3 linked regions of the Drosophila melanogaster genome follow. The gene in region 1 interacts genetically with each later gene. Each region holds a gene or a part of one and is shown in the gene's direction. Other genes may lie near its edges. The genes, in order: Abi, wit and WASp.

The links.
Region 2: of Abi (region 1) and wit, changing one suppresses a phenotype caused by changing the other (phenotypic suppression), as found in Drosophila melanogaster (one study listed by BioGRID).
Region 3: of Abi (region 1) and WASp, changing one suppresses a phenotype caused by changing the other (phenotypic suppression), as found in Drosophila melanogaster (one study listed by BioGRID).

Annotation. Positions count from the first base shown.
Region 1 is NT_033777.3:14,120,370-14,124,123, reverse strand, and holds the start of Abi (abelson interacting protein), read left to right. Parts: upstream 1-1,703; 5' UTR 1,704-1,846; intron 1,847-1,874; exon of another isoform or gene 1,875-2,011; 5' UTR 2,012-2,022; coding exon 2,023-2,378; intron 2,379-2,654; coding exon 2,655-3,277; intron 3,278-3,338; coding exon 3,339-3,429; intron 3,430-3,501; coding exon 3,502-3,513; intron 3,514-3,651; coding exon 3,652-3,754. Other genes in the region: twf (twinfilin), read right to left, coding at 1-89, 374-1,149, 1,251-1,328, 1,388-1,412.
Region 2 is NT_037436.4:4,070,118-4,073,871, reverse strand, and holds the start of wit (wishful thinking), read left to right. Parts: upstream 1-2,154; 5' UTR 2,155-2,463; intron 2,464-3,590; exon of another isoform or gene 3,591-3,689; coding exon of another isoform or gene 3,690-3,754. Other genes in the region: Faa (fumarylacetoacetase), read left to right, coding at 32-118, 503-720, 781-1,382, 1,441-1,787; CG32259 (uncharacterized protein), read right to left, coding at 3,690-3,754.
Region 3 is NT_033777.3:28,830,127-28,833,880, reverse strand, and holds the start of WASp (WASp), read left to right. Parts: upstream 1-1,856; 5' UTR 1,857-2,063; intron 2,064-2,567; exon of another isoform or gene 2,568-2,662; intron 2,663-2,740; exon of another isoform or gene 2,741-2,887; intron 2,888-3,203; 5' UTR 3,204-3,262; coding exon 3,263-3,379; intron 3,380-3,754. Other genes in the region: Apc (APC-like), read left to right, coding at 1-646.

The DNA of each region.
Region 1 (3,754 bases):
GCAAAAGCCGGTCGGTGTAGAATCTTCTTTGGGTGCAGCTCGTCCTGCAAGAAGGCTTCGGTCAGCTCGCTGCCGCTGTCGATTTCAAGCTGAAATGTAAAACGTTGTTAGAAACATGAATCAGATTTAGTATGATTTAAAATTACTCATTATTTATGATTTACAGATTTCTATTTCAAGTGAAAAGTGAGACATTCGCCCTAATTATGATTCAAAATATTTCTAGAGATCGTGAATCAAAAGTATAGTGAATGTGGCGATTTGAAAGCAATAAATAAATCACAAACAATATATACCCTGCTTTTGCTTTTTATAGCCCTAATCTTTAGTGCTATTAGCGCAGCCACACCCACTCGCATTCATATCAACTCACCTTCTTAACAACCTCCACGCCAAGGGCCGCGAGCTCGTCGAGAAAAGGAGCCTTACAGCTTGAGTACATCATGCGCTCGCGCACGGAGCAGGAATATCCAGGCATGGAGTAGACGAACACGTACGACTCAAAGTAGTCGCCCTCGTGCGTGTGCCGAAACAGGAAGAGGTGGTATCGTGCATGATCCTCGGGCACTTGCTTCGGCAGATCGGCGAGCTCCACTTTGGCCGCACGCGAAACATGGATCTGTTCCTCCTCCAGATCGATGCGGAACTGAAGGTAGTCGTGCTTGCCGCGCACCAAATCCTGAACGGCAGCCACGGTTGCCTCGCTCAGCGGGCAATTGATCCCACCCAGAGTTTGGTGCCGCGTATTCGTATTGATCTCAGTGTGAACCTCTGTCTTTCGCAGCTCTTTCAGCTCCTCCTCCCTGCTGGTCAATGGAGCTGGGGCTGCGAAATCCTGCTTGTGCCGGCGATAGCCCTCCAGCGTGCACTCATCCAGAGTGGTGGCATGCAGCTCCTCTGTGATGTATGCTGATCCGAACTCCGTTTTCAACGTGGCCTTCGTGGAAGCGTATACCATCTTCTGTCGGATGCTGGCCGTGTCCGGCGTCCAGCTGATAAGTAGCCAACTGTAGCCCAGCGGGATCTTGGCGTCCAGGCGATAGAGAATATAGCAGGGCACATCCTTTTCCAGTAGGGGACCTATAAGCTTGTCGTAGTCGCGCTCCCAATCCTTTTTCGTCTCCGCCGTGGCGCCGCAACTAAGCTGCTCTGTAATTTGGGGCGGGGTGAAAACGGATGCGGGTTCGTTATCAAATCGTATGCCTAGTATATATCTTGTGTATATACGTTTCTGGATTAAATCCACTCACCATTCTCGATCGAAACTTTTATCACGCGAAATTTACCATTCTTCGCTTTGCCGAACACCTTGGCCAGCTGCTCGTTGGCTGAAAATACAAAGGGTGTTCTAAGGATGCGGATTAGGTGGTTCCCAAAGATAACAAACCTCGGATACCCGTTTGGTGAGACATTTGGACAACAGCTAAAATTAATATTGCCGAAAAAATATATTACTCACAACCAGTGTGACCGCAAAGCGCGAGTAGGGAAATACTAAACCGGGAAATATGTACCGATTCTGATTGGCAATCACTTCAAAGCGGCTTTAAATGTGTAAAAAAAAAAGAATTATTAATTAAAAAGATACTGTAATGCTATTTTTATAACTAAATTTTGGGAAAATTTTTAACACTCTGTTTTATAGAACATACATTTCAAAAATAATACCAAATGTGTCTGCACTGATACAGTGTTGAAAAATTCTTCAAGCTCCAGTACTTTGCAGCACAGGCCAGCGTTCTTTCTTTTTTCACGGAAAATGTAATGAAAAACTGCATTTAACTGCATTTAAAACGTAGCAACTAGCCCGGAAAAGCATCTGTTGTGCAATCGCATAGTCAATAAAGTGAGTGCACGCGAGATTCGTCCGATTAAACCGCTCCAGCGATCAACTGGAGCAGCTGGGCGTCGACGTCGGCAGAGGCCAGCCCACGCCCCAAATGTTTACGGGCGTGAAAAGTGCGGAAAAGCGAGGAATTTAATTGGGTTTTCGTTTCCCGTTTGCCCGCAGCATCCACACCCATGTTGACCGAAACCCCCATGGCCAGCGAGAACATCATGGACGAACTAGCCTCTCTGATACGCACCGAGATCCCCGATGGCCGCCAGAGTCTGCGGGACAGCTACACGAACCTGGAGCGGGTGGCCGACTACTGCGAGGACACCTACTACCGCGCGGACAACAAGAAGGCGGCCCTGGAGGCCACCAAGAACTACACCACCCAGTCGCTGGCCAGCGTGGCCTACCAGATTAACACGCTCGCCTATAGCTACATGCAGCTCCTCGAGCTTCAGGCCCAGCAGCTCGGCGAGATGGAGTCCCAGATGAACCACATCGCCCAGACGGTGCATATCCACAAGGAGAAGGTGGCCAGGAGGTAAGAACAACAAATTGCTTAAACTAGAATAGGAAAAGGGGATATGCATATTTTAAAACGACAAAGAATACGGAATGAACATTTTTGTCTGTAAGTACGACTCATCGGTGATAAAAGCTTCATAGAGAAGAAATGTACATTCATACATGCGTCGTCAGACGTGCTGATAAGACTGAACGTCTCTTTCTTCATTCTTTTCCTACATAACTATTTAGTTTTTTCAATTCACTTTATTTGTATTAATTATTTTTGATTATCTTCATTGTCTTTTCTCAGAGAGATTGGCGTGCTTACGGCTAACAAGGTGAGCTCGCGCCAGTTTAAGATCGTGGCGCCCATCAATCCGGAGAAGCCCATCAAGTATGTGCGCAAGCCCATCGACTACTCGATGTTGGACGAGATTGGCCACGGCATTAACTCGGCCCAGCACTCGCAGGTGCGACAGAAACATCGGGGCTCCAGCCATGGGTCCGTGCAATCCTTATTGCCGCCGTCGGTGGGACCTCCGCCAACCACGAAGCCCCCAACTCCGCCGCAGATGTCGCGAGCTGGGAACACTGGCACACTGGGCAAGTCGGTCAGCAATACCGGGACACTGGGCAAGAGTTCGCGGGAGTACCGCACTCCGCCTGTGGTCAATCCACCACAGGTGCCATCGCACTACGCTCCCAACTATCCTATTGGGCATCCAAAGCGAATGTCGACGGCTTCTTCAACGATGACTACCACCACCACAGGCGGCGGAGCGGCGGGCAATGAACGAGCTGCTGGCTACAGTGCACTTCCGATGCCACCCAGCCAGCAGATAGCCACACATGTAAACCTGCCCTCCGCGGGCATGATGCAATCGCTGCCACCACCGCCGCCCACTACGTACGACGATCGCAGCAGCATGCCACGTGAGTTAATTTGATTATTCTGCAATAGCTCAATACTAATAATGCGGTTTGCAATTCGTAGCAGCTCCTCCTTCACCACTTACGGTTTCGCAGCACGAGATGACCGAGCAGAGTCACATTGGCATGCACACTTTGGGACGCAATATCAACAGGTAAGTTTCTGGAAAATGCAATCCCTTCTTTGTGTAAATATAACCTATTTATTGTTCTCTGTGCAAATCCAGGAATCCAAATAGGTAAATTGCATGTTTCTCTGTTTATCATAGGGTTATACTCAGCTAAAAAAAGTTATACTAGGTTTTCGTGTTTGTACTGTGTATAACTCCATGAAATTCATATGTTATCTTGTATATTAAACGCGTATTTTTCCAAAGGAATCACTTCAGCTTGAACTTCGCTCGTCCCGGCTCACAGTCGCCTCCCTTGCCACCTCCGCCGCCGCCGGAGGATGAGCATCAAGACTTCGGACGACCACGC
Region 2 (3,754 bases), on another chromosome or scaffold:
GCCCAAGTTTTCCACTTTGAGTGCTTTTAAAATGTCCCAGAGTTTTGTGCCAGTGCCAGAGAACAGCGATTTTCCGCTGGAAAATCTACCCTACGCTGTCTTCTCAACCGAAAACAATGTGAGTGATATCATACTGAAATCAAATCTTATATTTTTATGAGATTTTAGAACAATGGTCTCGCTGTTGTAAATGATAACTAAAGTGGTAAATGGCAAAGCAAATGTTCCTTTAACTCAGCCTGTTTTCCGTGTAATATTTTCAAGTTTTTCTTCAGTTTCATGTGACTTTGGATCGTTCCACATGTTCTAGAAATCAACTTTAGAACAGAAACCGCTTTGGGGCATAGCATTTGCATACATCATCCAAGACAAACTAGTTTGTTTACGAAAACAATATGCTAATCCAATCTTTAATACCCCAGCAACCAGGTTCTGATAAGGCCCCATATCATATATCGTATTTGTATATCGTAAATGGTGTTTTTCATCTTACCATCCGTAGAAAGTTCACCGTATTTGTGTGGCCATTGGAGAGCATGTCCTGGACCTGAAAGCTGTCTCGCAGTTGTTTCCTTTCCAAGTTCAGAAAAGCCTGCAGGCCGAAACTTTGAATGAGCTTATGGGATTGGACTTTGAAGCTTGGGATGTGGTAAGAAGCCAGACTCAAAAGCTATTGACGAAGGGTTCAGAATTGGACCACAATGTGGACTTGAAGGCGGTGTAAGTCGGATTTATTATAATAATTTATTATTCATAGTTAATAATTTATTTATTTATCAGTTCCATTGTGCCACAGTCTGAGATCAAGCTGCACCTGCCTGCACAGATTGGTGACTATACAGACTTTTACTCATCCATCCACCATGCCACCAATGTCGGCATTATGTTCCGTGGACCAGACAATGCTCTGATGCCCAACTGGCGCCATCTGCCGGTGGGCTATCATGGTCGTGCAAGTTCTGTGGTGGTTTCCGGTACTCCCATCCGTCGTCCTCTTGGTCAAACGTTTCCCGATGGAGCAGAGAAGCCCGTCTTTGGCGCCTGCAAGCTTCTGGATTTCGAACTAGAAATGGCTTTCTTTATCGGTGGTAAGGGAAATCAGCTGGGTGAACCCATACGCGTGGATGAGGCCTGGAAGAACGTGTTCGGTTTCACGCTGATGAACGACTGGAGTGCCAGGGATATTCAGAAGTGGGAATATGTGCCACTGGGCCCCTTCACCGCAAAGAATCTGGGAACCACCATCTCCCCTTGGGTAGTGCCCACAGCTGCCCTGAAGCCCTTCGTCTTGGACAACTTTCCTCAGGAACCGGAGGTGCTTCCCTATCTGCGCCAGAACATTCCCTTTAACTTTGATATCAACCTCGAGGTGTCTTTGAAACGTAAGTTGCCGCCTGTTAAAGATTTGTTACGTTAATTCACAAAATTTCCCCTTCTCAGCCGCCGATCAAAACGAAGCGCTTATTTCAAAGTCGAACTTCAAACACCTTTATTGGACTCCACTGCAGCAAATCGCTCATCACACAGTCACCGGTTGTAATCTGCGTCCTGGTGATCTGATGGCCTCCGGAACGATCTCCGGTGAGACTCCAGACTCGTACGGATCACTTTTAGAGCTCTGCTGGAAGGGCACCAAAACATTGGAGCTTCCGGGTGGTAAGACCAGAAAATTCCTCCAGGACTTTGACGAGGTCATCATCCGTGGCCACTGCGAAAAGAACGGACTGCGAATCGGATTCGGGGAGTGTGTGGGTCAGGTGCTGCCTGCCCACCCCGTTCCGCAGTAGGACCACTTATTAACATAAGTAAATGAAATAAATTCTATTCAGTCTTCCTGGATACGTCAATACATTATGATGTTCGGAAAACTTCAACTTTTCGTTCAAAAGCATACTTTTTGGGATAAATGGCCATCCATAGTAGCGTATACGTAATATTTTTTCTCGGTGCACAGTAATAAGCTCAACAAGTGCTCAACTCTTTCGCTCTCTCGCTACGATGCCTTGCTCTCTTTCGTTTACACAACTCTCGCTCCAATCGGAGCCTCTGCCATTCCACGCAGCTTCGTAAATACGCGCACGCCGCTTCTTCTTTGGCTGCAGAGAAGAGCGGAGAGCGCCAATGGGAGCATAGCTGAGCGGAGCAGCAAACCGCATTCATTCCTCGAAAGTCGGCGGGCGAAGGTGGGCGCGCTGCGAAAAGTCAAACGGCAAAACGGCAGAAAGGCAAAACGGCCCGCCTATCGGGCAAACTTGTTTAAAGTGCCATAAAAAAGCCTCTAAAAAGCGTAGAAATAAAAAAAGCTGCCGTGCAGCGCAAAGCAGACGCGACTGGCGCCGGTGCCCCAATAATAAATTTTCCGACGAGTGTGCAACTTCTTTCGGTTATTTAAAACAAAAGAAATAAATAAGTAATACAACTTAAAGTGCAAGTGCAGTGGTTGAATAGCGCCCTGAATTAAGTGTAAGTGCTGCTCGCAAATTGAAATTAAAATTAGTGCAGAATAGTGCAAATGTTTTCCGCAAACAACGCTGAATGTCTTGGAAAAATCAATTTTTTACTCCACTCTGCGCAAGTACACACACACAAATACGCTGACTAGCGAAGGGCAGACGGCGGGTTGGGGTGGGCCACCCACCCTGGCAGAAAACACTCTGTCTGCTCACAGTACACATGCACTGTTAGAAATGTTAATATCTTTTGCACATTATCACATAGTATGCATATGGATGTTCTTTAAAGATATGTATGTAGAACAATTGCGTTCGAGTAGTAGGATCAAGGGGCCATTGAAATTATTCGTATTTTGGATACATTATAAAATAATATACAACCCATTTGTTTACTGTGTGGAATGAAGTCAACAAGAGACCTCCGAATCCATACCCATTCAAATTCCCTTCGCCATTGTTGTTCTTGCTGTCCTCCGCCGACTGCATGCACTTTTGTGTTTTTGCATTGATTTTCCACATCGTTTTTTACACCGACTGTCGCAGTTTGGCCAAATGCATCTGCAGCACGAAGATGTATCCCCCGAATGGCGCGGATGTGTCTGAGGATGGGGACATGGACAAATGCACACGCAGCACGCAAAAAGTTAATCAGGCCCCAAAGAACAACAAAACGGTGGGGCCCAAAACACACTAACAGCGAAGGAGAATGTGAGCCTAAAGACAGTTTTATACCCTGTGATAAAACGAACTATAAACTAACATAGGTTCCTGTGTTACAATGTGATTTTTCTTAATTCATAAGTATTAGGAAAATTTATTGGTGCAAGATTTTAATGCAAGATAGTTTTAGAGCGTGTTGGGTACACCCTGACAAGTGTAGGGTATCGAGCAGTATTTGCAATTAACTGGCGCCGTCGGCTATCGTGCGAGAGCAGCCGGCGGGTTCCGCCTCCTCGCCCGCGGGTCCTCCTTCGGCCCACTCCACGGAGCACTTGGGACAGCGCCAGTTGAACCTGTTTTGGCGCGCCAGAGACACCGCTCTCTAGCTTCTTGAGTTCTCTTCATGTGCGCATTTGCTGAAAGTGGAGAAAGGAGAGGAAACCAGAAGCGAAATGGGAGAAAAGAAAGGCCAGAAATAGCGTCCCTTCGAAATTATAATTGCTCTATAAATTGAACATTATTATAATCATGATACAAGAAATATTGTACGAAAATGGAAAAGGAACAGAAAATATTCTATTCGGAGCTTTTCTTCAACTGGGCTTTATCGCGTTGACGCATCTTCCAAAGTTTTTTCTGGC
Region 3 (3,754 bases), about 15 Mb from region 1:
TTCAGGAGTTAGGTTACCAGCGAAAAAGAAGCCGACGCCGCCGCCTGAGCCGGCACCCGCACGCTTGGAACGCCAGGGAACCTTTGTCAAGGACGAGCCCACTAACTCCAATGTTCAAGTGCCCGTGGTGGAGACAAAACCGGCTCAAACCAGTCCCACTCACCGCGCCTCGAAGTTACCCACAAAGAAAGGCACGGCCAGCGGTGGGTCACCATCGAAAGCGGGCTCTCCCAAGAGGATTCCCTTGGCGCCGGCCCGCCGAATGACGCCTCAAAGGGCAAACACCAGTCTGCGACTAGCTGCGGGCAAATCTCACGCTGCCTCACGTGTGGTCTCCGGCCGCGTGTCGTCCACTACTCCACCATCCCGCAGCAACTCCAACCTAAATGGAAGCAGTGCAGCCGCAGCAGCTGCGGCCAAGATCAACCATGCGCAAAGTCGTATCGCCAACATCTGGAAGAGAGTGGACGAGGCCAAAACCAAGCAATCGTCATCCAACCTGAGGACGCAGAAAACCAAATCTTCCAACATGCTCAACGCAAATGGAACCAAGCCGACGCTCCTGCGCAGCTCCACGTTTGACAATACCCCCAGCACCGCTGGAGGAGTCAAGTCCAAGCTGCCAGTGGTGGGCGCGCGGAAATAGAGGGTTAATTTGTTCAGGATAGTATGGATCACAAATTAGCCAAGTTAAAGCGAAAACGGAAGTGGAGATTGTAAGAGGAACAGGACTGTATTTGTCAAGCATTTTTTAGGAACCGAACACGCACAGGTCCACATCCACAAGCCGAGCTAGAGTCAGAGTCAAAATCAAAGAGTTTTTAGGATAGGAGTTAATATACATACGCTATGTAATCCATATTTTACTCTCCTTTTACTTTATACATTATACGTAGACCCTAAAACTTTGTAAGCAACCAGTTTAGCATAGAGTTAGCGCAAACTCCTAGTAACTTCAACTTATCCAAATCACAGTCAGAGAAGGAAGCTCCCGATGCTCCCGATCGTGTGTAGCCAAATGTATTGCATATATATACACAAAATCAGGCCTTTCAACATGTGTACAACTACCCAATATATACAAAATGTATACTGGCATATATATAAATGCTATATATTCGATTGTCGCATTAACTAGGAAAGGTTTACCAAGTCGAATGTCTGTTCTGATTTAACTTTTTTAACACTTAGTTAGATGAGCTGTCCTCCAACTGGTGAGCTACTGAAATCAATTACAATCATATAGTTGCACATCTTTATTGAGAATATACTCTAAGTTTAAAATATGCCCCTGGCTTCCTTATGCAAACACCAAATATCTGAAGAGAGAAGAAATTCACATTTTTTAGTCACTGCTTTTTAAGTATTCTTTTATATAATTTAGCAAGTTAAGGGTAACTGTTTTAGGAAACAGCTTATGCATTAAGCTCATCATTTGCGACTTAGTTTTTACCGATTCAATGCGATTAACCATTTTCAATATGAATAAATCGAAATATGCTTTTTGTCAGCAAAAAATTAAACCAATGTGAATTTACTCGATTATAATTTATATCAAAATAAAACATATTTTGAAAGCCAGATGAACAAATATTTATTCGAATTTACGGGCGTGGTAAACAAAATCAAATTTAACGGAAAAGATAACATAAATGAAAAAATATACTATTCCCACAGCTCTCCACTCGCGATTTCTTAACGGAATTGCCTGAAACTTTTTGATAAACTTTTAAGCGGAACTAGTGATGGGCAAAATTGAAAAGTCTCGAGCATGGTCTGCACAGGGCCTTGGCAGAGCTTGATGCATATTTTAGGAAATTATCGAAAGGATAGTATTTTTAGCCTATCGCCTTTTTCGGTCGGTCACACTGGCAGCAATTGAATTGGAGTGAAAAAAAATAAATGAATAAACAAACTAGCATTGCGTCCGGGAACAGACGAATAATCAACCGAGGAACACTCGTTTTCAACGCCATGCACTCGATGACGCGGACGCGCGCACAGTAGAGCCTCCCGATAAGAGTCCCGGAATCCGCAAGGCCAGAGACTACACAGATTTTGTGGTGTGTTGTGTTGTGTGTGGGAAAAAAACGAAAGAGTGAAGAGCAGTGCACGAAAATAAACGCAAAAAATCAATGGGCGACCCCCCCAGCAGAGCAGCTCACAAGGGAAATTCGAGACCTTGAGTAGGGCAGCACATCATCCCATCCCATCCAAGCCGAACCAACCCAACCCATGAACTTACTCCCAATCCGCAGCAGCGTCTGTCTATTTACATTTGCATTTTCACCCCACCTGGCGCGACGACGGACAGGTGTTGTCACAAATCTTGGAGCTACGGAGTGGCGCACAGTGGGGTGGATTGGCTGGTGGCTTGTGGCGAGTGCCGAATGTTGAGTAACCCAGACCACTGTGCATGTATCACACATAGATACATGCGCACACCTAATCAGTGCTTTTCGCCAAAGATAAGGGCTCTTTTCGAAGAGTTTGCCACTGGCCTGGCTTTTGCCCACATTCAAACGCAGCTGGCTGGCTTGCTGGCTGACTGTTTCTGTTTCTGCTTCTGATTTCCGACTCTCGGGCACCGTGACTCAGACCAGGCGATCCGCTCGCAGCCCCGCCGACACCATAACCAGCTACATCGTCATAGCCAGCGCAGGTCTCGGTCTCTCTCGCTCGCGCTCTTGGCCGTAATTCGGGCTGAAAACCATTCAAAACCGTAAAGACAATACTGTCAATCGATTCAGCAGTCCCAAAACCATAATTCTTCGATCCCAAATCGGGTTATTCGCAACACACTTCGGACTCCGTTGCTCAAACTCTCTGTAGATCGGAGTTTTTACAAGCTGTACACTGTACAAAAAAATAGGCAGCCTATCCAAGTGTAGTTATCTTTTTATATTCGAAGGCGTTGACTGCAATAATTCATTTAAACGTTAAATATTATACAGTTTCTGAACTCTTTAGTATATTTATGGGAGCTCAAACTTTTCATATTGTATCGTCAACCCTACGATCCCAAACTTTTGTTCACTCTATCGAAGTTCAACTGTTACTCCGTGTGCCTTTATTGTTATGAACTTTTTACTTTTTCGGGGTCCCCAGCGTTTTGTGATATTAAATTAATACATTTAGCTTTTGTTCATTTGCGTATTGTTTTCGCCACACAATAAAATGCGTATTGTGTCCGTATTGTGCAGGGAAACCAGCCCAGATCCCCATATCCAGCACCAGACCCAGATCCAACGAAACCGGCCAGATGAGCAGCGGAATGAGGTCGCAGGACGGTCCACGGGCGAAGGTCAATGCCGCCAGTACGCTGCTCACCCAGGAGGAGAATGAGGCCGTCTTCAAGCTGCTGGGCAAGAAGTGCCAGGTGAGTCGAGTACTGATGATGCATAATGCCCCCAATCGGGTGATTAATAATTAAGCAATGACATGGTTTGTGTTCCTCCGCCTTCGCCGAGCAAATCCCACGGCTTGATGAAGCACTTCCTGCGGCTCAAGTGTCGCCCATCGTGTGCGAATTTCACTCGAAGCACAGTAACCCTATATCATAATATCATTCTACGGTCTACGGGCAGCTGCCTGTCATATTTACCAAATTTCACTTGCACACTGCCCAACATAGTTGAATGGTTTCTTTGCCCATTTAAAGATGGCACCGGAAGCTAAACTGTGAACAAAATTAGAGTTCTATGCACTATAGTTAGTTGGTCAGCTATAAAACTTGCATGGGAGTATCGTACAC